7 linked regions of the Oryctolagus cuniculus genome follow. The protein of the gene in region 3 interacts with the protein of the main gene of each other region in a pairwise test. Links are inferred from orthologs where the notes say so. Each region holds a gene or a part of one and is shown on either strand. Other genes may lie near its edges. The genes, in order: PGRMC2, ADGRG7, VAPA, APOD, CACNG1, OPRM1 and ZBTB22.

What was found.
Region 1: the proteins of VAPA (region 3) and PGRMC2 interact in binary tests that used the Homo sapiens proteins (3 or more experiments, as listed by UniProt). The link is inferred for Oryctolagus cuniculus from reciprocal best matches to the Homo sapiens genes VAPA and PGRMC2.
Region 2: the proteins of VAPA (region 3) and ADGRG7 interact in binary tests that used the Homo sapiens proteins (3 or more experiments, as listed by UniProt). The two-hybrid records come from large-scale screens. The link is inferred for Oryctolagus cuniculus from reciprocal best matches to the Homo sapiens genes VAPA and ADGRG7.
Region 4: the proteins of VAPA (region 3) and APOD interact in binary tests that used the Homo sapiens proteins (3 or more experiments, as listed by UniProt). The two-hybrid records come from large-scale screens. The link is inferred for Oryctolagus cuniculus from reciprocal best matches to the Homo sapiens genes VAPA and APOD.
Region 5: the proteins of VAPA (region 3) and CACNG1 interact in binary tests that used the Homo sapiens proteins (3 or more experiments, as listed by UniProt). The two-hybrid records come from large-scale screens. The link is inferred for Oryctolagus cuniculus from reciprocal best matches to the Homo sapiens genes VAPA and CACNG1.
Region 6: the proteins of VAPA (region 3) and OPRM1 interact in binary tests that used the Homo sapiens proteins (3 or more experiments, as listed by UniProt). The link is inferred for Oryctolagus cuniculus from reciprocal best matches to the Homo sapiens genes VAPA and OPRM1.
Region 7: the proteins of VAPA (region 3) and ZBTB22 interact in binary tests that used the Homo sapiens proteins (3 or more experiments, as listed by UniProt). The two-hybrid records come from large-scale screens. The link is inferred for Oryctolagus cuniculus from reciprocal best matches to the Homo sapiens genes VAPA and ZBTB22.

The regions. Positions count from the first base shown.
Region 1 is NC_091439.1:36,456,585-36,460,873, reverse strand, and holds the start of PGRMC2 (membrane-associated progesterone receptor component 2), read right to left. Parts: upstream 2,801-4,289; 5' UTR 2,590-2,800; coding exon 2,172-2,589; intron 1-2,171. UniProt on the Homo sapiens protein: Required for the maintenance of uterine histoarchitecture and normal female reproductive lifespan. May serve as a universal non-classical progesterone receptor in the uterus.
Region 2 is NC_091435.1:55,159,989-55,164,153, reverse strand, and holds the start of ADGRG7 (adhesion G-protein coupled receptor G7), read right to left. Parts: upstream 2,801-4,165; 5' UTR 2,538-2,800; coding exon 2,423-2,537; intron 1-2,422. UniProt on the Homo sapiens protein: Orphan receptor.
Region 3 is NC_091441.1:67,108,054-67,111,553, reverse strand, and holds part of VAPA (vesicle-associated membrane protein-associated protein A), read right to left. Parts: coding exon 3,451-3,500; intron 3,012-3,450; coding exon 2,931-3,011; intron 1-2,930. UniProt on the Homo sapiens protein: Endoplasmic reticulum (ER)-anchored protein that mediates the formation of contact sites between the ER and endosomes via interaction with FFAT motif-containing proteins such as STARD3 or WDR44.
Region 4 is NC_091435.1:84,039,770-84,044,021, reverse strand, and holds the start of APOD (apolipoprotein D precursor), read right to left. Parts: upstream 2,801-4,252; 5' UTR 2,748-2,800; intron 1-2,747. UniProt on the Homo sapiens protein: APOD occurs in the macromolecular complex with lecithin-cholesterol acyltransferase. It is probably involved in the transport and binding of bilin. Appears to be able to transport a variety of ligands in a number of different contexts.
Region 5 is NC_091448.1:13,144,179-13,148,227, reverse strand, and holds the start of CACNG1 (voltage-dependent calcium channel gamma-1 subunit), read right to left. Parts: upstream 2,801-4,049; 5' UTR 2,660-2,800; coding exon 2,431-2,659; intron 1-2,430. UniProt on the Homo sapiens protein: Regulatory subunit of the voltage-gated calcium channel that gives rise to L-type calcium currents in skeletal muscle. Regulates channel inactivation kinetics.
Region 6 is NC_091436.1:13,656,068-13,660,021, forward strand, and holds the start of OPRM1 (mu-type opioid receptor), read right to left. Parts: upstream 2,801-3,954; 5' UTR 2,668-2,800; coding exon 2,375-2,667; intron 1-2,374. UniProt on the Homo sapiens protein: Receptor for endogenous opioids such as beta-endorphin and endomorphin. Receptor for natural and synthetic opioids including morphine, heroin, DAMGO, fentanyl, etorphine, buprenorphin and methadone.
Region 7 is NC_091436.1:135,808,029-135,811,959, reverse strand, and holds the start of ZBTB22 (zinc finger and BTB domain-containing protein 22), read right to left. Parts: upstream 2,801-3,931; 5' UTR 2,789-2,800; coding exon 2,637-2,788; intron 2,526-2,636; exon of another isoform or gene 2,412-2,525; intron 1,769-2,411; coding exon 1-1,768. Other genes in the region: DAXX (death domain-associated protein 6), read right to left, coding at 3,248-3,307, 3,389-3,611, 3,728-3,931. UniProt on the Homo sapiens protein: May be involved in transcriptional regulation.

The sequences.
Region 1 (4,289 bases), on a different chromosome or scaffold from region 3:
ATACAGCATGCTGCATCTAAATAATTTTGCTACAAAACTGTTTAATTTATTTCAGGATGAAAATAAGAGCAAAATTGAACTTACAGCTCTTTCATAGCCAGGAATTGGCTTCAAGACTTTTGGTAAAGTGTTACTACAGTTTCTATTACTGTGAAACATCAACATATTTTAAGTCCCTATTAGCTATCTGGCTACCTTGCAGGTTCTTTTCAATAATAAAATATTCCAAATATTTCTATTAGGTTATTGATCAATACCTAGAATAAAATAACACTCAAGCTGCTCATCAGGACCTGGGAGCTGGTGGAAGCTATCAAAAAGTGGCCTCCTCATTGCTATCTGATAGCCCCCTTGAAACTCAAGCCTCACAAAAGCAACCAATGTAACATCTATGACACTTAATTTTTAGTTTCTGTCACAAAACATTTGCCACTGGAGGCTGCCAAACTGAGTGTATGACTGTCTCTTCTAACTATCTGCAGATAGTGGTAAATCATAAAGTGTGGGGACTAATACACTTCTTTCACTTAATATTTTGCTTTTAGTTGGGTAAGCTCTGTATTAAGAAATTAAACCTACACACCATTTCTTATCACTGAACACTCTGTAATATCAATCAGGAGAAACTTTAGGAGGAACATACTATGTAAATCCTTGAGATAAAATTTCACTTGTCCCACATACCCTTAAGTATAAAAAATAAGTATTATCTGAATTGATACAAGGAACAGACATCTGGTATTCATATATAAACAAAAACAAATACTTTATATGCAATCTATAGTTGGACAGAATGCATAACAAACAGGAATACAACTAGGAAACAAATTCAATAGTTTTAACACCAAAAATCTCCAATTTCTTATCTTCCAATTAAACGACAAACCAAAGTACTTCCAAAATACCTGCCATGCAGCACGCACTGAAATCAAATATATTTTGTAAGTGTCAATAAATCTCATGGCCTAACAGATCAGACCAAGGTAGAAATGAGCTTGTTCCTAGACTGCCAGCCCCTTGACTTTAAGGGGTCGATGTACTCTTTCTAATAACAAGTCACTTTAAGTCTCTAACTTTATTATTTATTCTTATTGTAGTCACTTTTTTCAAAGTATCATTGCACAGCCAGGATGTACAATGTTGCTCAATTCTATGGAATACCAACAGGTTCCTTAAGTCTGAAGTTTATCAGCATGATCTGAAATGCATGCTACAACTACACTGTGAAGAGCTTCGAAATGAACACACTTTTCTGAAAGCAAACTGTAAAAATATTTAATTTTCAACTGGTGCATGCGGGATTTAAAGCTCTTCCAAGTTTTTTCTTAGTTCTGGTAATTGAAAACATCGGTCATTGTTACCTTGTTTGAATCTGAATATTCGCTTTCCTACCAGCAAAAAAGGAAAAAAAAAGTCAAAAAGGTAAAAAGAAATAAGAGGAAAAGAAGAAAAAAAAAAAAAGAGGCGCGCCTGCTGGGTATATGAGCTCCGCCCCCAACACTTAAGGGCGAATATCCTTGCCCATCTTTAATCAGATCTGCCTTTCCGACGGTCCTCATCCCACATACATTGTTAATCTTGGAAAGCATCTCAGAACGCAAACTGGTTTTAAAAGACGTTGCTTATACGTCTGGACTTCACAGCCTGGAAGGGCTGGGACTGGGAATTACGTGTCCCTAAACGTGGCCTTATGAGGAGTGGTAGGCAGAAAGGGAGCCGGATCAGTGGCAGAAAAAAGTGTGAATTACCAAGGCCGGAACTTTAGATCCCTACTTTAGAAATCTTCCCTCCCTCCAGCCCGCACCCATCCCCGGAATTAGAAAGCTCAGGAAAGGTGGAGGGCCAGTTCGGCTGGAGGCAACTATTTAAGGATTTTGCAAAATTCGGCTGAAGAAGACGCTGCGAGGAGAGACGGAATGGGAGACAGACGAACGCTGAGAGCTGGTCCCTGGGGTCCCAGGGGGACCCCGACCTGCTGGAAAGCCGACGGCGTCCGCAGCAGGGGGCGTGTGGGGGGAGGGCCGTCCCAGGTGAGGCAGCCCAGGCGCGAGGGTCCAGGCGACAAGAAGACTGGGCGAACTAACCTGGTGCCCAGGGGCCTCCCCGTCAGAAGGGGGAGTCGTGCTTGCACTACAGGGGGTCCTCCCTCTCCCTTTCCAACTCCTCCTCACCAGGGCCGTAGAACTTGCTGCCTTTGGTCACGTCGAAGACTTTCCCATTGACCGCGAGCAGGATGCGCGGGGTGCGGGACCCGTCGTATTGGCGCAGCTGCTCCAAGCTGAAGTCCCGCTTCTTCATGCGAGGCAGAGAGGCGGCGGGGCTCTCCTCGCCCGCCCCGGCCCCGGATCCCAGACCCCGCCGCCCCCAGCGCACCCACAGCCGGTAGGCCCCCAGCAGCACCAGCGCCACCAGCGCCACGTTCAGCAGCATCTCCCCGCCCCCCGTCAGAAGCGCCAGCACCGCCGCCGCCCAGCCGCCCCCTTCCGCTGCTGCTCCCGCGCCGCCTGGGCTCTCGCTGCTGCCGTCGCTACTGCTCTCGCTGCCACTCCCCAGGGTGCCTAGCTTCACGTCCCCATCACCCGCCGCCATCACTGCCCGCCAGCGCCTTCCTCCTCCTCCCCGCCCCCTGCCCTCCCCAACCCCAGGCCGGCCCCGCCCATGAGGGGGGACTTCCCAGCCAATAACGTGAGGGGAGAGGGCGGGGACAGGCCGCCTCCTGATTGGGTGTTGACGGGGTAACGTTGTCTCGGCTCTCTCCCCTCCTCCCTTCTTTTGCAGGCCGCGCTCGCGTGCGACGCCCCGCCCATCTCGCCCCACACTTCCCCGCTTTCGCTCCTCGCCTCGGATCTGTGAAACAGACGAGGAGGGCGGATCTGAAGAAAAACATGCTGCGCCGACAGCGCGCGTGCGCGCACGCGCGTGTGGGCGGGGCAAGGGCACAGCGCGTGCGCCGATGCCGGAGCGCCACGCGCTCTCCTTTCCAGAGCAGCCTCTCGGAGAGGCCCGCTCCCCCCGCCCCCCGTCTCCCTGCTGTGCGCGTGCGCGCGGGGCTCGCGTCTCTTCCCAGGCCTGGGTTCGCGGCCGTGAACTCCCGCCTCTTTGCTCTCGCCGCGCTCGGGCGCTTCACGTGTGCGGAGGCGGCCCTGGGGGCGGGCCGGCGCAGGTGGTGTGTGGGCGGCCTCGGCGCGATCTTAAATACTGGGAGCAAGTCGATGAGAGATGTCTGTTGCTCCCCCGGGAGCGTGGCCCTGGAGGTGGGACAGCATCCAGAAGTTTAGGCGAGGAGCTGGCCCTGGACTTCCCTGGTATCGGCAGTCTCGGTGGCGATTGCGCGGCGCCAAGCAGCCGCTCCCCTTGGGCTTTGCTCAAGGTTGCTGTTGTAGAACTCTTACTTGAGATTAACCGTTTAGTTTTTCTCTGGATCCTAATCTGTGGCACTTTGGATGTGGATGGGCTGGCGTGGTCCTTGTGTTTGCTTTAATTTTTTTTTCCATTAATTAATTTATTTGAAAGTCAGAGTTACACAGAGAGAGGAGAGGCAGAGAGAGGTCTTCCATCTGCTGGTTCACTCCCCAATTGGCTGCAATGGCCAGAGCTGTGCCAATGCGAAGGCAGGAGCTTCTTCTGGGTCTCCTGTGTGGGTGCAGGGTCCCAAGGACTTGGGCCATCTTCTGCTGCTTTCCCAGGCCACAGCAGAGAGCTGGATCAGAAGTGCAGCAGCTGGGACTGGAACCAGCGCCCGTATGGGATGCTAGCGCTGCAGGCAGTGGCTTTGCCTGCTATGCCACGGGCGCAGACCCCTCGCTTTAGTTTTATGTACAGTTTTGTTCCTGGGGTGTCCTTTGTACTTTCAAATCCTGGAAACCCCACATAGTCACTCCTGAAGCTTCTTTCTTGGTGCTGCTGTCTCATGCACGTGACTTACTTGCCCTCTTTCCTGTTGGGTCTGCTCTTTGTGTTCTCTGAGCCTTCCCAGACTACCTGGTTTGATGAGTGTTGGAACAAGGACGTAAGCCTTAGCCATGTTAGGGTCACATTACTCCTGCCTGCTTTCAAGAGGCCAGTTAAGTCTCACGCCCTATTATTCTCCACCCTACCCTCTGGGTTCTAACGCAAGTTTGGTAGCCAGTGGGCCAAACTTGAACCTGTGTGGGGAAACACACCTCCACCTACTGCCCTCCACCCCAGCTTCTAGCCCACCAAAGATATAAAGAGGCCCAGCCTGCTGGGGTCTGGGCCCTCTGCCATGTGTCCCTTCTGTGTGCCTCTGGCAGTTGATCACCCACCTC
Region 2 (4,165 bases), on a different chromosome or scaffold from region 3:
GGAGACCTGGATTGAATTTCCGGCATCCATCTTTGGCCCCAACTCATCCCTGGCTGTTGCAGGCATTTGGGAAGTGAAGCATCAATGAAAGAGTTCCCTCTCTCTAATAAAAAAAATTATATTTATGACATTCATAGTTCTCAACAGTTTCACAAATATGCAGGGCCTCTCACACCATTAAAAAATAAATTTAAAAGCAATTCATCTCTATCCCACATAGGGACCAAGTGAGAACATTCAACAGCTGCATGAGATTTGATGGGAAGAAAGCAGTGGAGTAGACAGGAGCTCAGTGAGTAGAAGGGCATAAAATGGAATAGAACAGAATGTACCCAGCAAGATGCTCTGTGTACTAACTACGCAAGGTGTAGTAGCAACAACAAACAGACCCAGTCTTTGTCTTTTTCTTTAAATGATAATGGTAACTGTCTCCTTTTCCTGAAAAAAAAAAAAAAAAAGAAAGTTTACCTGAAAACTGAGGGAGAGCTCTTTTTATAAAAAACCAATTGAATAAAGCAGAGCAAGGCAAAATGATTCTTCTAGGGGGCTAGTGTGCGCCTATCAAGATTTTCATTACTGACTATTCTTCTTTTGGGTCAGGAATCCCAAAGATATGTTTTTGTATTTATTTTAAGCAACTCCCCATAAACTTTGACTATTATAGCCTTCCCTCTCTCACCCAGCCCTCTTCCTTATGTGGTTTCTGTACTTTGGGCTTTGTTTTATCAGACTTAGTGTAACTGTATCTTTTTTTTAAAGATGTATTTATTTGAAAGGCAGAGAGAGAGAGAGAGAGAGAGAGATCGATCCTCCATCTGCTGGTTCACTCCCCAAATGGCTGCAACACCCAGAGCTGGGCTGATCCAAAGCCAGCAGCCAGGAGCCTCCTCCAGGTCTCCCACGTGGCTGCAGGGGTCCAAGCACTTGAGCCATCTTCTGCTGCTTTTCCAGGCCATTAGCAGGGAGCTGGATTGGAAGTGGAGCAGCCCAGACTTGAATCGGTGCACAAGTGGGATGCTGGCACTGCAAGCAGCAGCCTTACCCACTACACTAACAGGGCCAGCCCCGTGTAACTGTGTCTTTTATAAGTTAGGTGTCACAAGTAAGAGGAAAAGAAGGAAGAAAAGACTTCATAAATATGGACCCCTTAAATGAAATCTCACAAATTTAGCAGCCCTAACTAGGCAAAACACCTAGTTCATAATTTTTTAAATATGAATTAAACTATTTTACACAAACCTTATCCAAGCAAAATCACATTTTTCCTGAGCTTAAATTTTCTTATTTTGATTCTGACACATTTTCTACTTTTCTAAATTCTATTAATATAGTATCCTGTAAATATTGCTGTTTAGGGGAGAGGGGCAGTCCCATTCCCAGCTACCAGCACCCTATCAGCAGTCAATGGATTTGACCCCTGTTGTCCTCAGCGACGGATCTTTGCAGCCACACGTTGTGCTCCTGCCTGCTACCCCCACCCTCCTGCTCAGATGCCTGTCTTGCAGCTCCCTTGACTGGCATGTGTTACCCCTACTTACCCAGCCTCTGTAGAAACTTTCTACAGCACACCCAACGTGGAATCCCTTCGTGGAGAACCTCTGCAACCTAAGGAACCACCCTTGGGATTTTTGAGTTTCTTAGTTCCCCAGAGTTTTTCTTGAACATCCTTGTTTCATACATAACTACCCCTCCCTTGCCTGCCTTTCCCATGTCACTGCTGGTACACAGCAGGGAACCTGAAAATATTTCTTGAATCACCAGGGAGAAAAAAAAATCATTGTTTAATGATTTTAATTTTCGGGTAATGTTCTACACCTGGAAAGTGAGACATTTTGAGTAAACCATAAAGTCAGTTTACTTAGCATAAGATGACTAAGATTCTCTTTTTAAAACACAATTCCATTCTGCACGTTTGATCATGTATGCAAGTACATATGTATGCCCATAATTATTTACCTTTCTCGAATTTGCCAAACAAGCCAAAACATGTGTTACTAATGATTTTTGTTATTACTCTGCTATCAATTCGGCCAGGAGTTAAGAGCATAAAGAAGCCAATTCAACCTGCCCGCCCCCCAGCAAAGTTTTAAAAGGACCTGTTCCTGAACATATGGCTCTCTTTCTCTCCACCTCCTGATCTTTGTCTCTTGCTCTCTCACTCTCCTTCTCTGTTTTCCTTCTTCACCCCTCCCCTATAGTCTATTGGGTTTCCCCCAATAAACCCTTTTCCTTAAAAAAGAAGCCAATTCAACCATGCTATCCTTCCCCTTTCCCATTCACAGGCACACATACACCGTCATATATACAACCACCCTCCAGCCATCAAACGACTAGGAACTTTCCAGTAGTGGCAGTTAGGCAGCAGGGACAGAGGCGCAATGCCTTCTTTCTCTCTGAGATAATTGTAGCAGGAAGCCATTACCTCTCTGGATCCTGATCACCAGCCTCCAGATGGCCAGTCCCAGAACGATGGTCATCAGCAGCCCAAACACAAGGGCCACCAGCAGCCTGGGGTTGCAGGCACGGCAGGAAACCATGGTGAGGCCAAGCCACAAATCTGCTCCTTTGGGAAAGGCAACTGACTTCGCTTCTCCTTAAGTCAAGAAGTTTAATCAGAAACCATTCTAAAGAATGCAACTCATCCCTCCTTTCAATGCTCCGTCACAGGGAGGGAGATGTCCCCCTTCTTTCGGATGTTTGAGGAGGGAGTTCAAATCACCTCCTAAAAGGTGCATTGTCTGCTTGCAAATATCCTCATCCTCCAGCGAAAGAGAAAAGAGGTGAACTGGTAGTGAGGGAAAAGACAACTTAGGGCAATAAAGCAGAAGGGGAGGGGCTAGCCAAGAGGGCCAAAGGGTGAGTATGCAGCCAAGCAGCAGTGAAAAGTAAATGAGAAAAAGGAAGAGGAGACCAGGCAGGCAGTGAATCCTGGTGGTCATCCATGGCCTGGCTGCCTGTGCTTTTACTTTAAAGGATCTGGCCAAGGTAGACCAGCAGATGTTTCAGGTAACACAAATACCTTCTTGAGGATAAGCAGCAACAGCCATGTGTCATTCTGGTGTTTGTGTTTCTTTAAGGAGCCTACATTTTGACAGTTGTGGCTGTTGAATGGGTACATGGGCACCAGGTGAGTTTTGAAAGGCACTAAACCAGCCGGCGCCGTGGCTCAATAGGCTAATCCTCCACCTTGCGGCGCCGGCACACCGGGTTCTAGTCCCGGTTGGGGCGCCGGATTCTGTCCCGGTTGCCCCTCTTCCAGGCCAGCTCTCTGCTATGGCCAGGGAGTGCAGTGGAGGATGGCCCAGGTGCTTGGGCCCTGCACCCCATGGGAGACCAGGAAAAGCACCTGGCTCCTGGCTCCTGCCAGGATCAGCGCGGTGCGCCGGCTGCAGCGGCGGCCATTGGAGGGTGAACCAGCGGCAAAGGAAGACCTTTCTCTCTCTGTCTCTCTCTCTCACTGTCCACTCTGCCTGTCAAAAAAAAAAAAAAAAAAAAAAGGCACTAAACCCAGCATTAGAACCCAACTGTTGCAAACTGTAGTCCTCCAAAATTCACACGTTCAAGTCCTAACCCCCAGTGCCTCAGAATGTGGCCTTCTTTGGAGATAAGGTTGTTATAGACGTAATCAAGCTAAAATGAGATTACGAGCAGAGCCCTCTTCCGACATGGTGGGTCCTTGTAAGTAGAGGAAATTTGGACACCGTGTGCCTAGAGGATATGGAGAGACACAGGGAGAAGACAACTGTATCTATCGACTTTTCATCTCCCAAAGGAAACACCAGAGTCAAATCTCTTACGAAGAAAAGAGATTGCTTTAGCTCACGTTCTGGAGGCTCCAAGGTCAAACAGCATGGCGCAGGCTCGGCAAGGGCCACCTGGTGGCTGCATCACGTAGGGGGTGCATGGCAAGGGTGAGAGCGAATGCCCGAGCAGGCAAGTGGTTACATCTGGAACCAGAGCACGGAGAGCCGGGTGAGACCAGGCTTGCCCCGGTTGTAACAGAACCTGAGGGGTCCCCGAGAATGAAGTCTACCTTCTGAGGGCATGCCCTCCATGACCTGGACCTCAACCCTGCTTTTTTTTTTTTTTTTTTAAGATTTATTTACTTATTTGAAAATCAGAGTTACAAAAAGAGACAGTTTCCAACTGCTGGTTCACTCCCCAG
Region 3 (3,500 bases):
CATGCTGATACAACAAGTAAAAGTCTGTGGGAAAGCCTATAAGTGAATCAAGTTATTTCGAACCTATAAATTCAAGAGATTTAAGAAACCTATCACCCATAGCCATATTTAGATTTTATTTTCATCTCAATTCAAACAAACTACAAAAAATAAAATAAAATAAAATAAAACTTTGGGCCGGCACCATGGCTCAATAGGCTAATCCTCCGCCTTGCGGCGCCGGCACAACGGGTTCTAGTCCCAGTCAGGGCGCCGGATTCTGTCCCGGTTGCCCCTCTTCCAGGCCAGCTTTCTGCTATGGCCCGGGAGTGCAGTGGAGGATGACCCAAGCCTTTGGGCCCTGCAACCGCATGGGAGACCAGGAAAAGCACCTGGCTCCTGGCTTCGGATCAGTGTGGTGCGCTGGCCGCGGCGGCCATTGGAGGGTGAACCAACGGCAAAAAGGAAGACCTTTCTCTCTGTCTCTCTCTCTCTCTCTGTCTACTCTGCTCCACTCTGCCTGTCAAAATAAATAAATAAATAAATAAATAAATAAATCTTTTTTGATGACATTTGCCAGGCAAGTTTGAATGCTGCCTGATACTAATGATATGTCAGATTTTTAATGGTGTATTAATGGTACTATCATTAAAAACTCCTTTATCCCCTCTTTTAAAAGTCCTTTGAGAAGGCTAAGTGTTTAGCCTGGAAGTTAAGATGCCAACATGCCTGCATCCCACACTCGAGTGCCTGGGTTCAATTCTCAGCTCCTGATTCCAACTTCCCTCCCGCCAATGCAGACCCTGGAGGCAGCACTGATGACTCCTGCCACCCAAGGGGAGATCTACACTGCAAAGTTCCTGGCTCCTGACCCAGCCCTATTCATTTCAGGGATTTAGGGAGTGAGCCAGGAGATGGGAGTACTCTCTTGGTTGCTGTCTCTCAAATGAATTTAAAAGTTGGAAGATATAAACTAAAATATGAGAGTGTTTCAAAATTAGTGGGAAATGGAATTAAAAGATAAGGTTATTCTAATGTGCAAATTTTTGAAATCCAGGCATAGTTTCTCCTCTCCATAATATTCTTTTTCCATCAATTTTTGAAATGCTCTCATAATTACTGATGAAATTACGTAATTTCTGGGGTTTGTCTTAAAACAGTAAGTGAGATGGGAAGTAGTGGGACCTAATGAAGTTCAGATTAACCACAAGCTGGTGATCATTAAAGTTGGTCACAGGTTCACACTACTCTTGCTTACTTTTTTCTAAATGTTTCCAACTATCTACTTTTTAAAATTAAAATGATCTTCAGAAGATATTCTCTACAATTTTATATGCCTCATATTCAAGTGGTTTGATCAGTGACAATACATACTGCTCATTAAAGCTCAGAGTAAGATATTCTCTTGAGAACTTCTAAGCTACTGAACAGTCTTTGAGTTACTAATAATATTTGCTCTGAAAAGGTTCCAGGCCCCAAACCACTACTGGTCATACACCACAGTGGGACACTCTGGAACTCCATTCAGTAATTTTTCAAGCACTAATGCAGATCCCAAACCGCTTTCTTGGTTAACTATGGATTACACCTGTATGTAGATGCATATACTTTCCTCCATGAGGCAGTAAATGGCTGGTGTCCACTTCACAGACCTATCAATTTCATCAACAACTTCTGGTTTCGAAAGCAATGAAAGTTACCCTTAATTAGCAGTATCAAATACCTGGGTTCCAGCCCTTTCAGACTAAAATCTCAAGTTGTCTGCTATTTAGAACATTATAAAAAACCTTATAAAAGATCTAACTACGTTTATCAAATTACGGTTAAAAGAAAAAAAAAGATAAGCAATTCTAAGGAAGAAAACAGCCAGACAATGTCTTAAGTTTCCCTGGTTCCAGTAAGAAGAATTATACAAGATACTGGTTTCCTTGCAATCTAGGAAAAAGAAAATTCCAAATGTGAAGTATTAAGCATGCCACATTTTCTGTTTTTGGCAAGTGCCTCAAAATGTATTTTAAAGGGCATCTTAAAAATTCAATAAACAATTTGACCAACAACTAACACCCAATACTATCAGGGACTTTTTCAATTCAGTGTACACAATATAATAACTGGGCCTGTATATTTACCTGTACATTTTCTTTTCAATAGCTCAAATGACTGCCAGGTCAAGGCAAGAGTCATGTCAGATTATAACCAAACTGTGTCTAGTAATTCTACTTGTCCACATTATAGTGTATATTAAGGCATCACCCCCTCCCCTCAAAAAAAATAATCCTACCTTTCTAAGTCCCTCCCACAAACCACAGACATGATTTATAAAAACAAATTTACAATGCAGAGAGGAACAGGAAAAGTAACCACAACCAACTCCATATGTTCATAGCCTACTGGCTAACTTTTTTTTTTTTTTTTATCTATACACCTATATCCCTCAGTTCCCCAAATGGTACTCACTCACATTCATTCACACTAACCAACAAGAAACAAAAACTATTCATTAAAGCATAAAATAAGGTACATTTTTACCTAAAACAATAAAGTAAGCAAAATACCTTGGAATATCTTAACATGGAAAATAAACTGCTTGTCCATTTAATCTTTTATCCCCCAAACTGCTGCTGGTACATAGCTGCCAAGAAGCAGTTTATAACTGTTTTTTAAATATATTTATGTATCCAAGCGTCAGTTTCATTCTAAAAAAGAATTTGAAGTGATTTAGTGGCATAAATCTGGTAGAAATAAATGTTTCTTCCCCATCATACAGCTTGTACCTAAAAGTGACATTTTTCTTCTTGGACAAACACAATGCAAAGAAAAAAAAAAGTTTTTAAAAACTCAAGTGAGCACTGAGTCTCATTAAGTACCTGAAAGGCCAAAAATAGAAGCAAATTCAATCAAAGTAACTGACAGCTCAACAACTGTCAATTTCCTTACATTTTTCTACTTACCAATTTATCATTTTCATTGGGCATTTCAAATACACATCTCAATTTAGAATCCATTAATTCATCAGGTTTTGCCTCTTTCCACTAAAATAAAAGCAAACATTAAACACAGAGGTAAGTTTCACCTCAAGGGACAACTAAAGGATGAGCAGAGCTGCTCGAAAGCACCTGTGAGAGCCTGCAGCTCCGGGGGACTGCACTGCTATCCTCTGTAGTTATCACCTTGGCACTGACATTCGCTAAGGTCACAGAACCTGTACAGAACCCAAGATCTACTACCACCACCCAGTGAAATCACACTGATATCACTGGCGGTTACATCACTTTCTTCTTTAACAATAGCACGGCTAATTATTTCCACAAAATACTACTTCAAAAATCATTCCTGAAATTCAGGATCATCTGTAATGAACAGACTAACAATGTTTAAATTTTTAGAATTAGTTTTCTCCATTGCGAACTAAACAAAACGTTTAAACAACATTCCCCAAAATAAATTCTGCTCAACTTCCTACATACTTACCACAGCTTCCATATCTGAAGTGTTTGGTGGAGCAAAAATGGTCTGTACCA
Region 4 (4,252 bases), on a different chromosome or scaffold from region 3:
TGTCAGACTCAGAAAGGAACAGCAGCGGCGTGGGGCAGCGGCAGGTAAAGCGGGCGAGAGAAGCCTTCCAGCAAGCCGTGAGAGGGAAAAGCTAAACAAACAAAATCGTGTGCAGGGTTTGAAGTCTTAGGCCTCCCTGTTGGCCAGCCTGAGAGTGGGCCTGGGACCTCCACAGGGAGCGGGGCGTGTATGTTTTGGGGGGGGGGACCTCCAGGGTCACCCCGAATGGGCTTGAGTTCTGGCTCTGCTGCACAGTAGTGTCCTGGGTCTATCTGTGCCTCAGTGGCTGTCTGTGAAGTGGGACTAACACTCATAGCTGTGAGCAATCCATGAGATGACCTAGTACTTCAGTCTCAGTGCTCCGGGATCCCTAGTTGTTGTTGAAAGGCAGCTACAGATGATTGCATTATTGCATTTCCCAAACTTCCTTGTTTTTGACATTCTATTCAGAGTATTTTTCATAGACACTGGGCATTTAACCAGGGAAGGACCTTCAGCTGATGGGTGATTGTGCAGCCAAGTGTTCCAACCGGAGGGTCCTGAGGAGGGTTAGCCCGCTAGGGGAGGGAGATCATGCCCGGCCCCCAACCTCTCCCCCTCCCCCCACTTGCTGGCCTTGAACTCCTGCTTCCTCCCTTCCTTGTGGCTGCTTAGCCGGTAGCTAAGCTAAGCTGCCACGAGCTATTTCCAGCTCCTTGCCTCTCCCTGGATGAGGCTGACTGAGTCAACGCATGCACAGTGTTCTCAGATCTGAGCATTTAAAAGGCTGTGTCATAACAGGCATAATTATAACCACTTTATTACAAGCCTCGGAGCCTCCAGATAACTTTAATAATCAATAGCTTGTCTTCTGGAGGCTTCCTTGCCTGGTTTTCAAAAGAACGGTTATGTAATGAGGGAAAGCTACCAGCTGAGGCTGGTGGGGGAGGGGTGGTAGCAGAGCCCCCTCCCCCACCAGCCTCACCCCCCCCCCCCCCCAGTGAAGTCTGCCTGGCACCACCTTGCTTCCTCTGGGAGACTCCTTTTCCCCATCCGCTCCCACCACCAAATAAACGCCTCCTGTCTTTTAACCTTTTCAGGGATGATGGGCTTGCAGGAATGCAACCCAAGCCCACAGAAATCTGTGTTCATTTTCAAGAGATTCTCAGAACCTCGGCGGCTCATCTCAGAAGACCCAAGCCAAGTGCCCTGTACAGAGAATCTAACTGCAGAGGGTGGCCACTCTATGCATGTTCTGCAAGACTCCCCCCAACATGGACAGGGCCTTGGAGGGCACCTAGCCAGTCCCCCCCCCACGCTGTCTTCCAAGTGTGCGGATGGGGAAACTGAGGCCTCGAGGGGAGAAGCTGTGACTCCAGCCTCGGCCCCCGGCTTCCTCCTGTGCACGCTCCTGTGCTGTCTTTCCATGAGCACTTGCCTCTGTGACCTGAGACGAATGTGGCGTCAGCACGTGACAGTTAGAACAAAAGGCAGTTCTCCATCTGATTCTGACAAATGTCTTATTACAAAGCGTTCCTGGTGGGCTGGAACATATTCTTTAGCTCTGTGGGAGGATTTCAGAACAAGACTAATCCCCCTGATTGCACCTCTCCCAAAGATGCTTCTTGGCTGCAGTAGCTTAATTCCCATGGTCAGAGCTCCCTGTGAGATGCAGGATTGATAGCATCGCCAGCATTTTCCAATTCCCCTTCCGTGGGGGTCACCCAACACTTAGCGAGCGTGTTATTAAGGTATGCCTATGACCTTGGATGACATATAGATTGCATACGACATACACTTATATTTTTCTTGCCCAAATGAGAGCTTTAAATACTTTCAAAAGGAGATAGAATTTATTGGATATTATTTTAAATTGAATATTAAATAACTAAAAAGTAATTCCACTATGGCAACACTGCATCTATCTTGGACCAGGCACTGCCTGCGAATCTCTGCATACACCCATTGATCTTCTTCATGGTGAGGGCTTGGCATTAGTGTTTTAAGTGTGTTCTGCCCTGAGTCTCTACAACACCTCATCTGGAAATGATCTCTGCAGATATTCTCTTTGTCCTAATGGAGATAATGGCCCCAGTTCCTCCCCTTCGGTAAACCGCGAAGCCAGAATTTAAGCTCAGCTCTCCTAAGAGCCCTTGCTCTTGGTGCGTGGGGGTTTCTGTGGACACAGTCCTGTATCTCTGGGAGCTGCAGATTTTAAGGTTGCACATACAAAATAAAACATGTTGCCACAAGTAAATACATCTTTAAAAAAAAAAAACCCACTTGGCCACCAACTCCAACAAGAATGGAAGGAAATATTTCTATGCCATATTGTGAAGTGCATTTTCTATTCCCACAGTTAGTTCCAGGTTTCACTTAATTTCACTGTAATGCACAGTTGGATAACTCCATGAGAACTCATCTAGTGCGGTACTGGTGCGTGGAAAATTGTCTCATTGTTTCATTCACAAGGGGGAAGGCATAGCATAAACAGAAGGCTTGGGGTGAGTCAACATTGACTTTGGTCTTATCTTAGGCCTGATGCTTATCACAGCTGTGCCTCAGTATTGGCACCTGAAAAACAGCACTAATAATACCTACCTTGTATGTTAGTTTGAAGAAAAAGTGAGACCAAGTTCATAAAGCTACTACATAGGCCCTCGATCGGTGGTTCTGAATTTTAGTTGAAAGGGAACAATGAAAGACCATGACTGCTTCTATTTTAAGCATTATTTATCATAAATGAAAACTTAACTATGGTACATACCTTTTTTTTTCACCAAGAAGAGAGTGATGTCCACGAATTCATCCGACGTGAGATAGCTCTCTTGGTGACTGGCTTCTCCCACGTTATTTATAAGCTTCATTGGGTCATTAGGCCTTAATCTGCATGCATGCCACACCCCCTACAGTTCTGAGAGCTGGCCTAAAAGCCCAGCTCTGTATGAAACACAGATGGGATGTTGTGTCCATTCCCCTGCCCCCGGTTTCCTTCACAGCTGCTCTCCTAAGAAGAAACAAGGAGTTATTGTGTGTGCGTGTGTGTGTGTGTGTGTATGTAAATGAGACAGGGAGAGAAAGCACATTTTCATTCAAAACATCTTTTTTGCTACGTGGACTTCTTTGATTTAATTTTTTCCAGTCAGATGCACTTTTAAATTCCAGCAAGATGAGTTGCAGTATGTTTTCAAACAGCTGGTATTTATTTTTCATTTTCTGTAAATGAACAGTCAACAGTTCCCTTTTCTAATACAGAGTCTGGACTCCACCCCATGTGGTTGCTGGACCGGAGTGGGGCTCAGTTAGCAGAGAGGAGTAGGAACCAGAGCTGCTTTGCTGTGGTGTCCTGGGCAAACCCTCAGCTTCCCTAAGCCTCAGAGTCCTCTTTGTGCAGTAGAGGTGGTCACTTCTGTCCCCTCCTGAGCTGCATGTGGAAGGGAGGGAGGTACCAGCTCTGCAAGCCCAGAAAGCAGAAGGTGGCTCCGGTGGCTCCTCTTTCTGTGCCTTCAGGACCCTGCCAGCTCCATGTGCTAGGCAGCCCATCACTGCTGGGGGGGGTCCTGCAATTCACCCAAGGCAGAGTAGGCGCTGACACGTGAGAAATCCCGCAGAGCACAGGCATGCTGAAGAACAGGCGGCTAGGAGGATGAGTGCAGGGCCCATCCCAGATCCACTTCAGCAGCCTGCGGGGGAGGGGTGGGGGGACTGCCGAAGGGACTGCCGAAGGGACTGCCTCGAGGGACGTGGTAAGCATCCCGGCCTGGGGGACACAGCCTAACTGCTCAGGTACAAGTAAGGACCCCTCTGTCCCAGCCATCTGTGATTTCAGAGCGGTCCCGTGTTAACAGTGCTAGCGTGTTAGGCACACGCCATGCTGTGAATGGCCACCCGTGGGCAGCAGCGGAAGGAAGGCTCAGGGGACTGGACACGGGCACTGGGAGGCCAGGCCTGGCTCAGGTCTCCTGAGACCTCGGGGACCAGGCAGCTTGTGCTGTCCTCTCAATGATGTGACCGCCAACGGGGACATAAGCCCTGTCTTATTTCAGCGTGGGTGTCCCAAGAGGCCATTACCACGTTATTGTCCACACCGAGGGAGTGATCCGCCAGCCTCTCCTGGGAGCTCAGCGTCCTCCTCCCAGTAGACCCATGGGAAGAGGGCAGGTCTGGGGTCAAGGCCCGAGTGTGCGAGGCCCAGGCTGATGATCATGTGGCCTTGGCCTTGGCCTGGCCCCCTTCTGCCAGGTCCCAGCTGCATCCTCTTTCTGGCCCCCTG
Region 5 (4,049 bases), on a different chromosome or scaffold from region 3:
TCTCTCCTGAGCCTGTTGGCAGCACCGTGCATGCACAAGGCCTTCGAGGTGCCCAGGAATATGTTGGAACTTTCCAAAGCTGCCAACGGACATCATATCCTCCAGCGTTTGGGCTATCCCATTATTAGCACCAACTGTTTTGTGCTGTCTCAAGAAGCCATGATGTTACACAGTTGGCTCCAGTTGTTTTCAACAAATGCTCCCTGGGAGAAAGATTGGTGGCACTGGAGAGCTCAGAGCCAGGTCAGATAGAGGCGATTTGTAAGTGGGGACTTGCAGGGAGCCACAGGACAGGTCGCACAATGACCGCTCTGAAAACAGAGCCGTAAAAGAAAGCTGGCCATTTGTCCCCCTCAGTGGCTGTTGGGCTGCTATGTTGGTGATGACTGTGAGATGTTGAAGCCACGGCAGACCTGGGGAGGGTGCGTGGGAATGGGCAAGTCTCTGTTCCTCCTGAGCTTCCCTTGTTTTTCTGGAATTCTGTGAGATTTGGTTAATGTCCAGTGTCCTGTCAATTTTTGCCAGAATCCTCATGGCTTTTATGGGGAAGATTTGGGGGCAGGCATGCCTTACTCTGTCCTATTTTTCTGACGTCATTTCAAGTGAATTTAGGAAAAGCATTCACAACAATACATGCACACAGTGCTACGTTTGCGTGCCTTTGTTGTTGCTTTGGTTAATAACAAATAAATGAGAGATGTATGAACTCGCTCCAGAAAACGGTGGTCCCGAGGAGATTAAGGAAGGTAAAGGTACATTGGGAAGGAAGCAGACATCTGTTTGCAAAAGAGGAAAAAGGCCGGGGGGACATGCTTGGGAGGATTATTGGAGGGAAGGCAGTGCTGAGTGCCGCAAGTGCATGATTCACGCCTGGGGCGGGGGCGGCGTGGAGAGGCCAAAGAGATGGACGCTGCTCAGGCTCAAGGCCAAGTGTCGGTCCCCTGGGGCTGGCCTGGTCACCTCTGGCCAGTCTGTCTCTTCCTTGTGTGGACTCTGCCCGCTGCCCTGCTCATCGGCTCTGACTTTAAAAGGCAGATGGCTCCAAGGACAGCAGCTAGGACCATGACAGTGTCCCTGGAGGAGCCGCCTCGCCCTGCCCCGCCCTGCCCTGCCCAAGGGAGTTGGCTGGAGGAGGCGTGTGTTTACGGGCGTGCTCAGCGGTGGCCGAGGGCATGAGCATCTGCGCTATGCGATAGCCCATGAGCACATGCCCACGCCTGTCAAAGCTCCCAGCCCTGGACTCAGCGTTTCCAAGACAGCTGAGGATTTACGAGTCCTCTGCACGCCCCCCGGGGGCACGCGGGGCAGGGGATCCCTGGAGCAAGTGGCAGGGGGAGGAAAGGGCGGCATGGGGCTAGGGGCTGGGCAGACTGCAAGACCTCTGGGGGCTCAGCGCCACCCGCCTTAAAGGACGCCCTTTCTGAACACGCATGTCAGGTGGGACGGTGTCACTCACAGCCTGGCCGGCTGCCGCCTTGGAGGGACCTTGGTGAGCTCTGGGAGGGATCGTGTGTGGCTGAGACCAAGTCTCCTGTTTTATAGAAGAGGCAGCAGGAGGAGCTGAGCTGGGCTTTGTCTGCCCAGAAGCCTCCTCTAGGGAGCAGGCGGCTAGCGCGTGACTGGGGCCCAGGCCTCCGCTCCCCGCACAGCACCCGCTGCCCTGGCACACGCTCTGCTCACTGGAACTCCGTGGGCCCCACACGTGCAGAACCGACACTCTTCCCAGGGATCTGTCTTGCTCACGCCCCACGTCCTGGACCGAGGGCTCACCTGCAGCGTGTGGCTGGGTGACACTGTGGGACAGGGGACACTTTGGAATCTGAGAGAGCTGAGTTCAGGGGGCCCCTCCGGGAGGTCTGTGGGCTCCCACGAGCAGGCAGCCGGCTTGCATGCTGCCACATCCCACTTTCCAGGGGTGCAGCCTGCACAGTCACACCCACCCCAGAAGCGCCCCACACCCTGCGGCCGCCTACCTGAAACGCTTTGTCGCCGGAAACTAGGAGCCCTGCCTTTTCATTCTGCAGGAGGCACTGCAGACCCTGGAGCTGGCCCTGTTTGCACCCTTGCCTGGGCACTGAGCAATGAACCTGCCGGGCTGGGGGCACACGGCCACCCAGCCTGGGGACATGGGCTGTGACCCCTGCTGAGCCAGAGGCCCTGGTCTGGTGGACCTGCGTCTTCGTCCTGGGCCTCTTGTCCCATCTGTGCAGCTGTCTGCTCTGGGCGCATGGCCCCATGTTCTAATAGCTGGAAACGTAAGCCCTCCGTACATGGCCGTGCCATGCGCAGCTCTGTCTGCCCTGGGCAGGGAGGGCTGGGGTGCTGCTTGGACCCGAGGCAGAGAAACCTGCCTTTTTTCCCACGGGCACCTCTTCCGGGGCACCTGCGACAGGCAGGAGGCAGAGAGGGGACAGGGCATGGATACGTTACCCCCAGGCAGGGTGATGGGTCCGCAGCTCCTGTCCTCGCCCAGGGCGATGCGCTTGGTGCAAATCCGCCACAGGCCGAAGTGGGCGGCCTCGCAGGTGGTGTTGTGGTTCTCCATGTGGGGGCTCAGCACGGCCCAGTGGTCGCTCACCACGGCCGTCATGGCCAGCACGATGCCCACCAGGATGCAGAAGAGGGTCACGCGGACCTTTGGGGCTTCCGTCGGGGACATGGCGGCTGCAGAGGGGTGGGTGCTGCAGGTAGGGTCTGGCGGCGGCGCCTGCCCGTGCAGGTGGCGGCCCGGCTAGGGTGGTGGCCGTGGCTCCGGAGCTGGGGGTGGAAGCTAAGTTTAGTGTGCCCGGCTGAGCCAGAGTGGGCCGGCCTTGGGGCTGGGAGACGCGGGCTGGGGCTGAGCAGCTGCCAGACACGTCAGGGGCCTGAGCGAGGCTTCTATTAATGCCTCCAGCAGGGCCCAGGACGGCGTCTGCTCGGGTTTCAGCGCTTTCTTCCCCTCTTGGAGCCAGGGTGGGGCAGGAGGAGGCTTTACAGAGTGACTTGGAGTGGACGGGGGCGAGGGATGGGCCACCTCGTGTCGGGTGATGCACCTGCTCTGGCTGCAGAGGTCCTGCTAAGCCAGCACAGGGCCCCCGGGGAGGCCCTGCTGCTTCCTGGTCTCACACTGGGCAAGCCAGCTGCCAAGATGGGGTCCTCATCCCGGGGAGTCAGGGGACCCAGGGTCTTGCCTAGGGACAGCCCAGGGCCCTCTGCCCAGGGCCTCTGGAGCCCCCTCCCACGCAGTGCCTGAGCCCGCACAGGAGCCCAGCCCCACCGCCCAGGCCTGGGAATCTGCATGCATGTTCCTCAGCCAACTGTGACCTCACTATGAGAACACCTCTACCTCCTCACTTCTCTTCCTGTTCCTGTCCCTGTTCAGGGCTAGGGAACGTGTGCTGGAACAACCGCCCTTAGAGACAGAGAGAGGCCCGGAGAATACAGCTGGACTCAGCGGCACCACTGTTTCTATGGAACTGCTCTGAGCGCCGCCTCCTCTTCCAGGCAGGTCATAAAGATTCCTGGCTGTATTTTCACTTACAAAGTTAAATGCAGGCCGGCGCCACGGCTCACTAGGCTAATCTTCCGCCTGCGGCGCCGGCACCCCCGGTTCTAGTCCCGGTTGGGGCACCGGATTCTGTCCTGGTTTCAGCTCTTCCAGCAGACAGTGCGGCCCAGACAGTGGGGTGGTGTGATGTGCCAGCTCCCAGTGGGATGGCGTTTGGAGGCGGGCCTTTGGGGGGTGGTCTGGTAAGAGTGGTGGCTTGGGGCCCTGATGAGAGCCCAGAGAGCTCACTTGCTTCCTCTCTGCCATCTGCAAGCCAGGAAGAGAGCCCTCACCAGAACCTGACTGTGCTGGCTCCCGGCTTCCAGAACAGCACTTGGCTGTGGTGCCCTGGGCTGGCGGCATGGCGGGCGGTGGATCCAGGATGGCTGCGTCAGCATGTTCTTCACAGACCACTGGTGGATGGGTTTGCTCTGAGCTTCGGAGGCTGAGGTCACTGAGGCTGTGAGGCACTCACTCTAGGTCCTCCCAGAACCTTCACAGATGCTTATTGAGAGGTTTGATG
Region 6 (3,954 bases), on a different chromosome or scaffold from region 3:
AGGCAGTCAGTTAAATAATATCAGATAAACTGACACAGTTTCTTCCATCCTTAGATGCTCTTCCCATCACATCATTTGTCATTGAACTGCCTAGTTTTCTGTTTCACAGTCAAATCCTCAGAGGGTTATCTGACCTTGGAATTAAACACTCAACCTACCACAGGTGGATGTTTGGGGTGACATTTAAAAGAGTACTGCATTTTTTTCAGAACTTTCAGTACAGAGAAGAAAGCATAATATCACGTTCTCAGTAAGATGCAATGTCACCATGTTTCTCCAAGTCAACAAGGAGCCAGAAGTAATGCCTTTAAAACAAACTCACCCAAGTAACAACCTCTTAAACACTGGAATAAAGCCAATCTGTTTATTTCACAGCCTATTTCTGTGCTATTGGATGTCTCCTTATAGCAGAGAATAAACTAGAGGGTGGGGGGAGGGAGTAAAATGCTAAGGAGAAGCAATGAAAGGGGATAAAAGATCATGATTCAGATGGTGGAGTTTATAGATGTCTCAGTAATTTATATCGTGTTTTTTGCTCCAGGATTCCATAGATATACATTTTTGATAATTTATTGTTCTATCATTATTACTGCTGACTAAATCTACTCTGTCAATCTAGTAGTTGGCTAATTTAAATCATGGTTTGTCATCTTAACAAACAGAAAATTATGCTAGCTAAGATTGGTTCAGTGGTATCTTTTTTCAACTTTTTTATTTATATAAAGTGAACAAATTTCATGTATACACATTTATGAGCATAGTGATATCTAAGAGGAATCATTTATATTTTCTTTACCTTTTATTCACAGAGCAAAGATAATCTGTAGTCATTCTAGTTTTATCAGTCTATGTGATTTTTAAAGGGATAAATGAGAAACATTTTCTTTTTTAAGAGTAGACCTTCAATTATACTTTTTATTGTCGTAATTGCAGAATAAGACTAGTTTTTTCTCTGATATGAATTTTTTATTGAATTACAGAAAGCAGTTTTTTTTAAAATAAATTCTTTCATTGATTCTTTTCCTGAAATTTTCCTTCTGTTGTTAGCTGTCCACTCAATAGATGGTGCTCTTTTCTCAGAGACACTTTCTTATTTTATTGCTTATCAAAGTATCAGGGAAATTAGCTTTACTTTTTAACAAACATTAATTAAAGAAATCAGGCATATAAATAGGACAAGTCAATTACAAGCAATTTGCAGCACTTTGCTAAGGAAAGCATAATGGGAACAGTGATTATTTGTTAAAGGATTCAAGTACTCCACTGAAACCTGCGAAATACTTGCTGAATAGGTGAAGCAAACACTGTAACTAAATATGAAAATGACACATTGGCTGCATACCTACAACCCCCAATGGGAAGAAACAAGCCTTACTAAGGAACTATGTTAAACAGCTAAAAATATTTGTTTACTTCTTAAAAAGTGAATATTTAGTATTCCACATTCACATGATGTGTTTGGTATACATATCAAGACCAACACAAACAACATCAATCTCATTCAATATTGAAAATTTGCTCACCCCTTGTCTAATGAAGCTGGAACATCTGGGAAACAGACAGTAAACCATAAATTCTTTCGAAATAATTTTACTAAAGACACATTTTCTTTTTCCCAGAGTGCCTATGACAACTTCCTATGTAACAGTTTCTAATGGAGAATTATGATGGGTCACTCTTCATCTGTTCCAATGTGTGGAGACACTGAAAAACAATTCTGTTCTCCTGAACCACCCTACCCACTCAAGATGCAGCTTGCAATTGCTGTAGCAGAACCACAGCTGTCAACTGCAAAGGGTGGAGGTAACAAAGTGACATTACCAGGGAGAGATACCAGGAAAACTTCCTCTGCCTCATGTGGCCTTAGGGTGGAAGCAGGAATAGGTACACGTGAAGATCAGGGGTGGGGCTGTCTACAGAGAAGTCCTCCTGTACCAGCAAAAGTAGGAAAGTTGCCACCTGAGTGGACTCAGCCTCCCAATTCGGAAAAAAACACACCTAAACGTCCTCCCCCATTCTTCACAACTTATGATGCCATAGCTCTTGCAAAGGGAGCCACCGTAGGACTCTGTGCCAAGAGTTTTCTTGTCTCTGTACAAGGGAGAGCTTCAACATGAAGCATTTTCCCCCAACTCTCACCCCCAGAGCTTTATGCCTTTTATCAAAACAGCTTCTCTGTTCCTGAATTTTTGGATTTTTTCTTTACCAGTGGAAGAAAAAAAATAGAAAAGTAGCTCCCCATCCACAAACACACACAGCAACCGCTCCATCTGGGGTCGCCCCCAACCACACGCTTAGTCTTGGGATGCAAGGGCCTTTTGGGAGCCCTTTTAGCCGCTGAACTCCCCGTTCACAGCCCTGGCGCCCTCCTTACCTGATGATCACGTACATGACCAGGAAGTTTCCGAAGAGACCCACCACGCACACGATGGAGTAGATGGCCATGATAGTGACGGCTGTGACCATGGAGGGACTGCCGGTCGGGGGGCACAGGCCGTCGCGTCCGCCCAGTTCGGTGCGGTTCGGTCCACACGGGTCGGACAGGTTGCTATCGAAGTGGGACAAATTGACCCAGGACCCGGGGCTGGGTGCTGGGGAGCAACTGGAGGAGTGCGCAAAGGGATCAGTGCAATTGCTTGCGCTCGCTGGGACGGCGCTGCTGTCCATGGTGCTGACGGCGCTGGGGAGCGGGAGGCCAGCTAGTCGGGAGCCTTGGGACTCGGACTCTGGGCGCTTCAGCCACTGGCTCTGGCCACGGCGGCCGCAGCTCTTTGCGGTTTCTTACCGGGACCAGCCTCGCGGAGCCAAAAGCAGCGTCAGGCAAAAGGCGACAGCGGAGCGTCTGACATTATCCTCTGCTGGTGGCCCCTCCCACCTTCGTAGTACACAGAGGCTCATCCCAACCCGGCACCACAGGGCTGAGGAGGGCAAGGCAGGCGGTGCGGGCTCCGCAGGCTGGAGGGGAGGAGGAGGGGGGAGGTGGATTTTGCGCAAAGCAATCGGAGGAGTTGGTCCTCACCCTTCGCGCTCTTGAGAGCAAACACCTCGAGGGCGGGCGGAGCTGGAAGGGAGCTGGAGGGGAGGGGTGGCCAGAGAGGAACAGAGCTACTTTTGATAGCAGGGAAGCATAAACGAGGGGGCTGATAGATCTCCATTTTTCCAGCGCCGGTTTCTCTTTTTAATCTACGAGGAAAGACACTGGCACGCTATAACTCTAACAGCCCTTGAGCCCCAATGCCCTTCCATCTCTATGGCCCACCACAATTATTGGAGGTAGGGGGCACAAGATCCTCTTTCCTCTACATCGCCTCATCTGACAGAAGACAATCATGTCTTTGAAATTTCCAACTCTACAAACCTGTCTGTACCCAGAGAGATCCTTTATTTATTTATTTATTTATTTATTTTCATAGAAAGGATCTCTATGAAAATAAATAAATAAATAAATAAACTTTGTGGAAGAAACCTGCTCCCTTTATTTTTCATTGTTTCAGTTTCTCTAAGAATAGATGTTCCATTTGCATCCTTCCATAGAATTAGGTAGATTGTGACATGCAAAAAAGTCAACTGAAGATATTACTGATCCACATCTGAGGTCTCCAAGACCCTTTCAGAATGATTATACATTCCATCTGCGAACATACCAGATAGGCGTATACTTTTCAGAAGAAGGCTGTTAAACCCAACAAATTTTGTTTTATTTCATTCCGTTTTCTAGTGTAGACATTCCAGGAGGAAGTACATAAACTTCTGCGCTTGGAGTAGCCCACAAAATGTTCTCGAGGAACAATGATACATTAAAAAAATTTGTATTCACTTTTAAGTCCGTGAGCTCTTCCAATTAAAAAAAATGTAAATACAGTAAGAATATTATTTGTAAAAAACCAACACTAATTCTGCAGTAATTCTCATTTCTGTGCATGAAAATATCTTTTAGCCATAAACACTGGAAAT
Region 7 (3,931 bases), on a different chromosome or scaffold from region 3:
GTGCCGGCGCTCACAGTGTCCCCGGTGGCGCATGAAGCTGTCTCGCCACATGAACTTCTTGGCGCAGACACCGCACTCGTAGGGCTTGAGGCCTGTGTGGGTCTTCATGTGCTCGGTCAGGTGGTGTTTCATCTTGAACTTTTTGTTGCACACAGGGCAGTCAAAGGGCCGCAGGTTGAGGTGCATGTTCACGTGCCGGTCCCGCATGCTCTTGTGGGAGAAAGCTTTTCCACAGTGGCACAGAAAGATCTTGTTTCCGTCCCCACTGCCAGTCCCCCCGGGGGTGCTGGCCACGCCCAGGCTCCCCGCGGAGGACGTGCCCCCCAGCGTTGTCGGCCCGTGTTCCCCTTGGCTTCCTGGTGGCTGGCCTGGAGCCTGAGAGGAGGAGGAGGAGGAGGACGAAGATGACGGGAAAACCAGGATCTGGTTGCCCTGCATGTCCAAGGGAAGGAGGGCTCTTGGGGGGTGGGAGGGGACGTAGGAGGAGGGGGTCGGCCCCCCTGAGTCGTCAAGCCCGGCCCCAGGACCCCCACCCTCATAGGGGCCAAAGTCATTGGAGGACTCACAGAAGTTGACCTGCTCCTCCCCCTTGTCCGGTGGCTCCGTCAGAGTCCGGACATCGCTTATGCTGAGGGTGGCCTCAGGCCCTCCCCCTGATGGGACCCCAGAGCTAGCCCCCAGCTCCTCATCTTCATCATCCTCACAGGTCAACACCAGATCTTCCTCCTCCTCCTCCTCTAGGTCTGGGTCTTGGGGAACAAGGGGTGCTGGTGCTGGGCAGATCCCACCCCGCTTCACATAGACCCAGTGTTTCTGCGGCACGATGCTGGGAGGGGTGTAAGCGGGTCGCCGGAGCCCAGCCCCAGGGACCACCGCACCCCTCCCATCTCCGCCATCATCACACAGCTCGTCTGCCTCCAACAGCAGCTTCCCAGAGCTGGCTCCCCCACTGCCAACCACGGGGGCTGGGAATACAGGGCCGCCTCCTCGCCGCTCCCCATTGCCCACGGCAGAAGCCGTGAATGCCTCTTGGGAGGAAGACGAGAAATCAGCGGACTCCCGGGGGCTGAAGTAGTTGCTGCTGCTGGGAGACTGATTTTCACTGGCCCGGCTGGAGGCATGGGAGCGCCCGGAGCCCACGGAGGTGGGGGCCAAGGTGCCTCCGCTCCCTGATGGGGCGCCGGCACCAGGGACAGTGACAGAGGTGGCTGCAGCAGTAGTGACGGTGGTGGTGCTGGCAGAGGCCCGGCCTTCTCGGAGGAGTTCAGTGCACTTGTCCACAATGTGCCACATCTGGAGCACGGAGCCCACCGTGAGGAAGTTGACAATGTCAGCAGCAGCCATGCTGAGGCGGCCAGTGTACGCGGAGGCCAAGACAGTCTCAAAGGCGCCGGGGTCCATGACACTGGGTAGTGAGATGGAGGTCATGCCCTTGAGTAGGACCTGGTCATGGAAGTAAGGGGAGGAGGCGGCCAGGACAGCCCGATGAGCCCGGAACTCCCGGCCCTGCACTCGGATGGACACGTCACAGAGCTGGCCCTGCAGCCGCTGCTGATTGAGGGACTCCAGGAGGGCACTGGTCACCTCGGGGAAGGACACATGTACCACCGCGGCTGCAGGCAGGGGCAGCGGGGGTGGAGCCAGCGACAGAGGCAGGGGGAGTGCGGCCCCGCTGGGGGAGAGAGGAGATGGCTCCATGTTGTGGTGGGAGGGGATACCCCCCCCAGCCACAGGAACAAAGGAAGGAGAAGGGCGGCCGGGGGGGTCTCTGGGGAGAAAAAAGAGAGAAGAGCGCTAAGACCTTAAAACGACACAGCCCTTCACCGTTTAGAAACATGTTCACACTGGTCACCTGAGTAACTCCCCACAACTCAGGCAGATATGCCTCTCAACCCATTTGGTGGATGAGGAAACTGAGCCTCCGAATGATTAAGAGATCGTTCAAGGTCACACAGCCAGCAAGTGCCACTGCCAGCAAATGCAGGTGTCCTGACTCCGAATTCAGGGCCCTTTCCTGGGAGGTTAGGGAAATACGGTGCTCCTAGGGAGTGGGGTGCCTTCTCTTGGAACTAGACCCTGTAACCCTGGGAGCCTGACTTCCCAAAATCCACCTTTTGGGTGTCTGGTGCTTTCCTTTTCGACAGAAGGCACGTCTGCCTCCCCACAGAACACCACCTCCATCTCCCCTTGCCCCCCAGTTCCCGAGGCCACGCCCCTTCCGCCCCAGCTCACCTATAACCACGCCCCCTTTGAACCTGCCTTGCGCTCCGCCCCCCTTGATCCCTTCGACCCCGCCCCTTGTCTACCCCCGCCCCCGCCGGACCCCGCCCCCGCCTGCTCCGCCCCAAGCGCTACCTCGGCCTCCTCTCCCACCCGGAAGGCGCCCCCCAACCCCGCGCGTCCCCGCTTACCGGGCCGCGCGCCCCCGGGCCCCCCCCGCCCCTCACTCGGCGGCCAGAGCTGCAGCCTGGGCCCCTCCCGCCGCCATCTTGCGCCGACTCCCTCCGCCCTCCGCCTCCGCTCCGCCTCCCGTCCCTCCGACTTTAAAGGCACAGACAAGCACCCCGCCCGTGCCGCTGGGCAATACTCGGCCGACTCGGCTGCTTTTCCTTTAAAGAGCCGTGGCCTCATCCCACCTTAAAGGTGTCAGGCCCCCTCCTCCGCCGGAGACTCGGAACTTGTTTCGGCCGAAGTCTTCCTTCCCCTTTAATTTTACCAGCCTGCCTTTTCCCATTGGCGACGAGTCCTGGCCGCCGCTCCCCAGGCCCCGCCTCCGAGCCGTGTCCATTAGCAGGTCTGCGAGATCCGAGAGTCCTCTTCCCAGCGCTGACAGACCCTCGAAGCCCCGCCCCCTTCCTCCGGGCCTGGATTGGCCAGATAACCTCGAGTCGGGCCCTGATTGGCCTTTTACTCCTACCGCTAGGAGTGAGAAAGTAAAGCGCGTTAGGAGGCCGAAGCACATTTTTTTTTAAAAAGTTCTCGGTAGCGGACACCGGGGACCCGGGGCATCAGGAGAGCGGTGTAGGGGCCAGGCTAGGAAAGGGCAGATCCGAGTCCGGAGCTCGGCCCTCAGCGGCAGACAAGGAACAGGCAGGATACAGTAAGAAAAGCATTTTATTGTTTTTAACGTTTCTGTGTAAAACTTAAGCTTATTTTTTAAAAGAAACCACCAGAAGGGGTCACTCAGTCCCCCGCCCCCGTCCCCCTCCACTGTCATCCCGGAACGAACGGAGGCAGGACGGGGCAGCTAATCCGAGTCCGAGAGCACAATGATCTCCTCGGGGTCGCACTGCGTGGCCACGCTCGTCTGCGGAGAACCAGAGGCACAGTCAGGGCGCGCGCCCGGGGAGCTCGAGCGGGCGGGACAACCAGCGGGCCTCGCCCTTACCTTGTAAGTGCTGGCCCGGGCAGGCTGTGCCGGCAGGGTTTGGGACAGCCGGGCTGGCGACGGGCTGCAGAGGGAGCTGGTCACCAGGCCATGGCTGGGAGAGTCCACCCTCGTGGAGGAGTCCGCGGCTGAGGCCGTGGAAGCCAGCGGGGAGGGTGGGCTGGGCAGGGGCCGGCTCCTCCTCCCGTTCTTCTCAGGCACGGCTCGTTCCCGGTCCACGCAGCTGGGTACGGAAACAAATTCACAGTGGGGCACGGGGCTGGAGCTGGAGGGAGTCCAGCCTGAGAGCCCCTTGGCATCCCTCTGGCTCCTTCCCTCTTCCCCCGCCGGCGCTGTTACCTGTTTCCTAAAGGCCCGGACGCTATCTGCCGGTTCTCCTTCCGAGACTTCTTACAGGGGGGGCTGGCACCTCCCCAGGCATGGGGAGAAACACCTCCATTGAAGGAGGTGGAGGTGACCGCGGCTGCCCCGTTCTCCAAGACAGTGGTGACGGGCTCCTCCGCGTGCCTCCTGGAAGAGGAAACGTCCGTCTCCTCAGGGGAA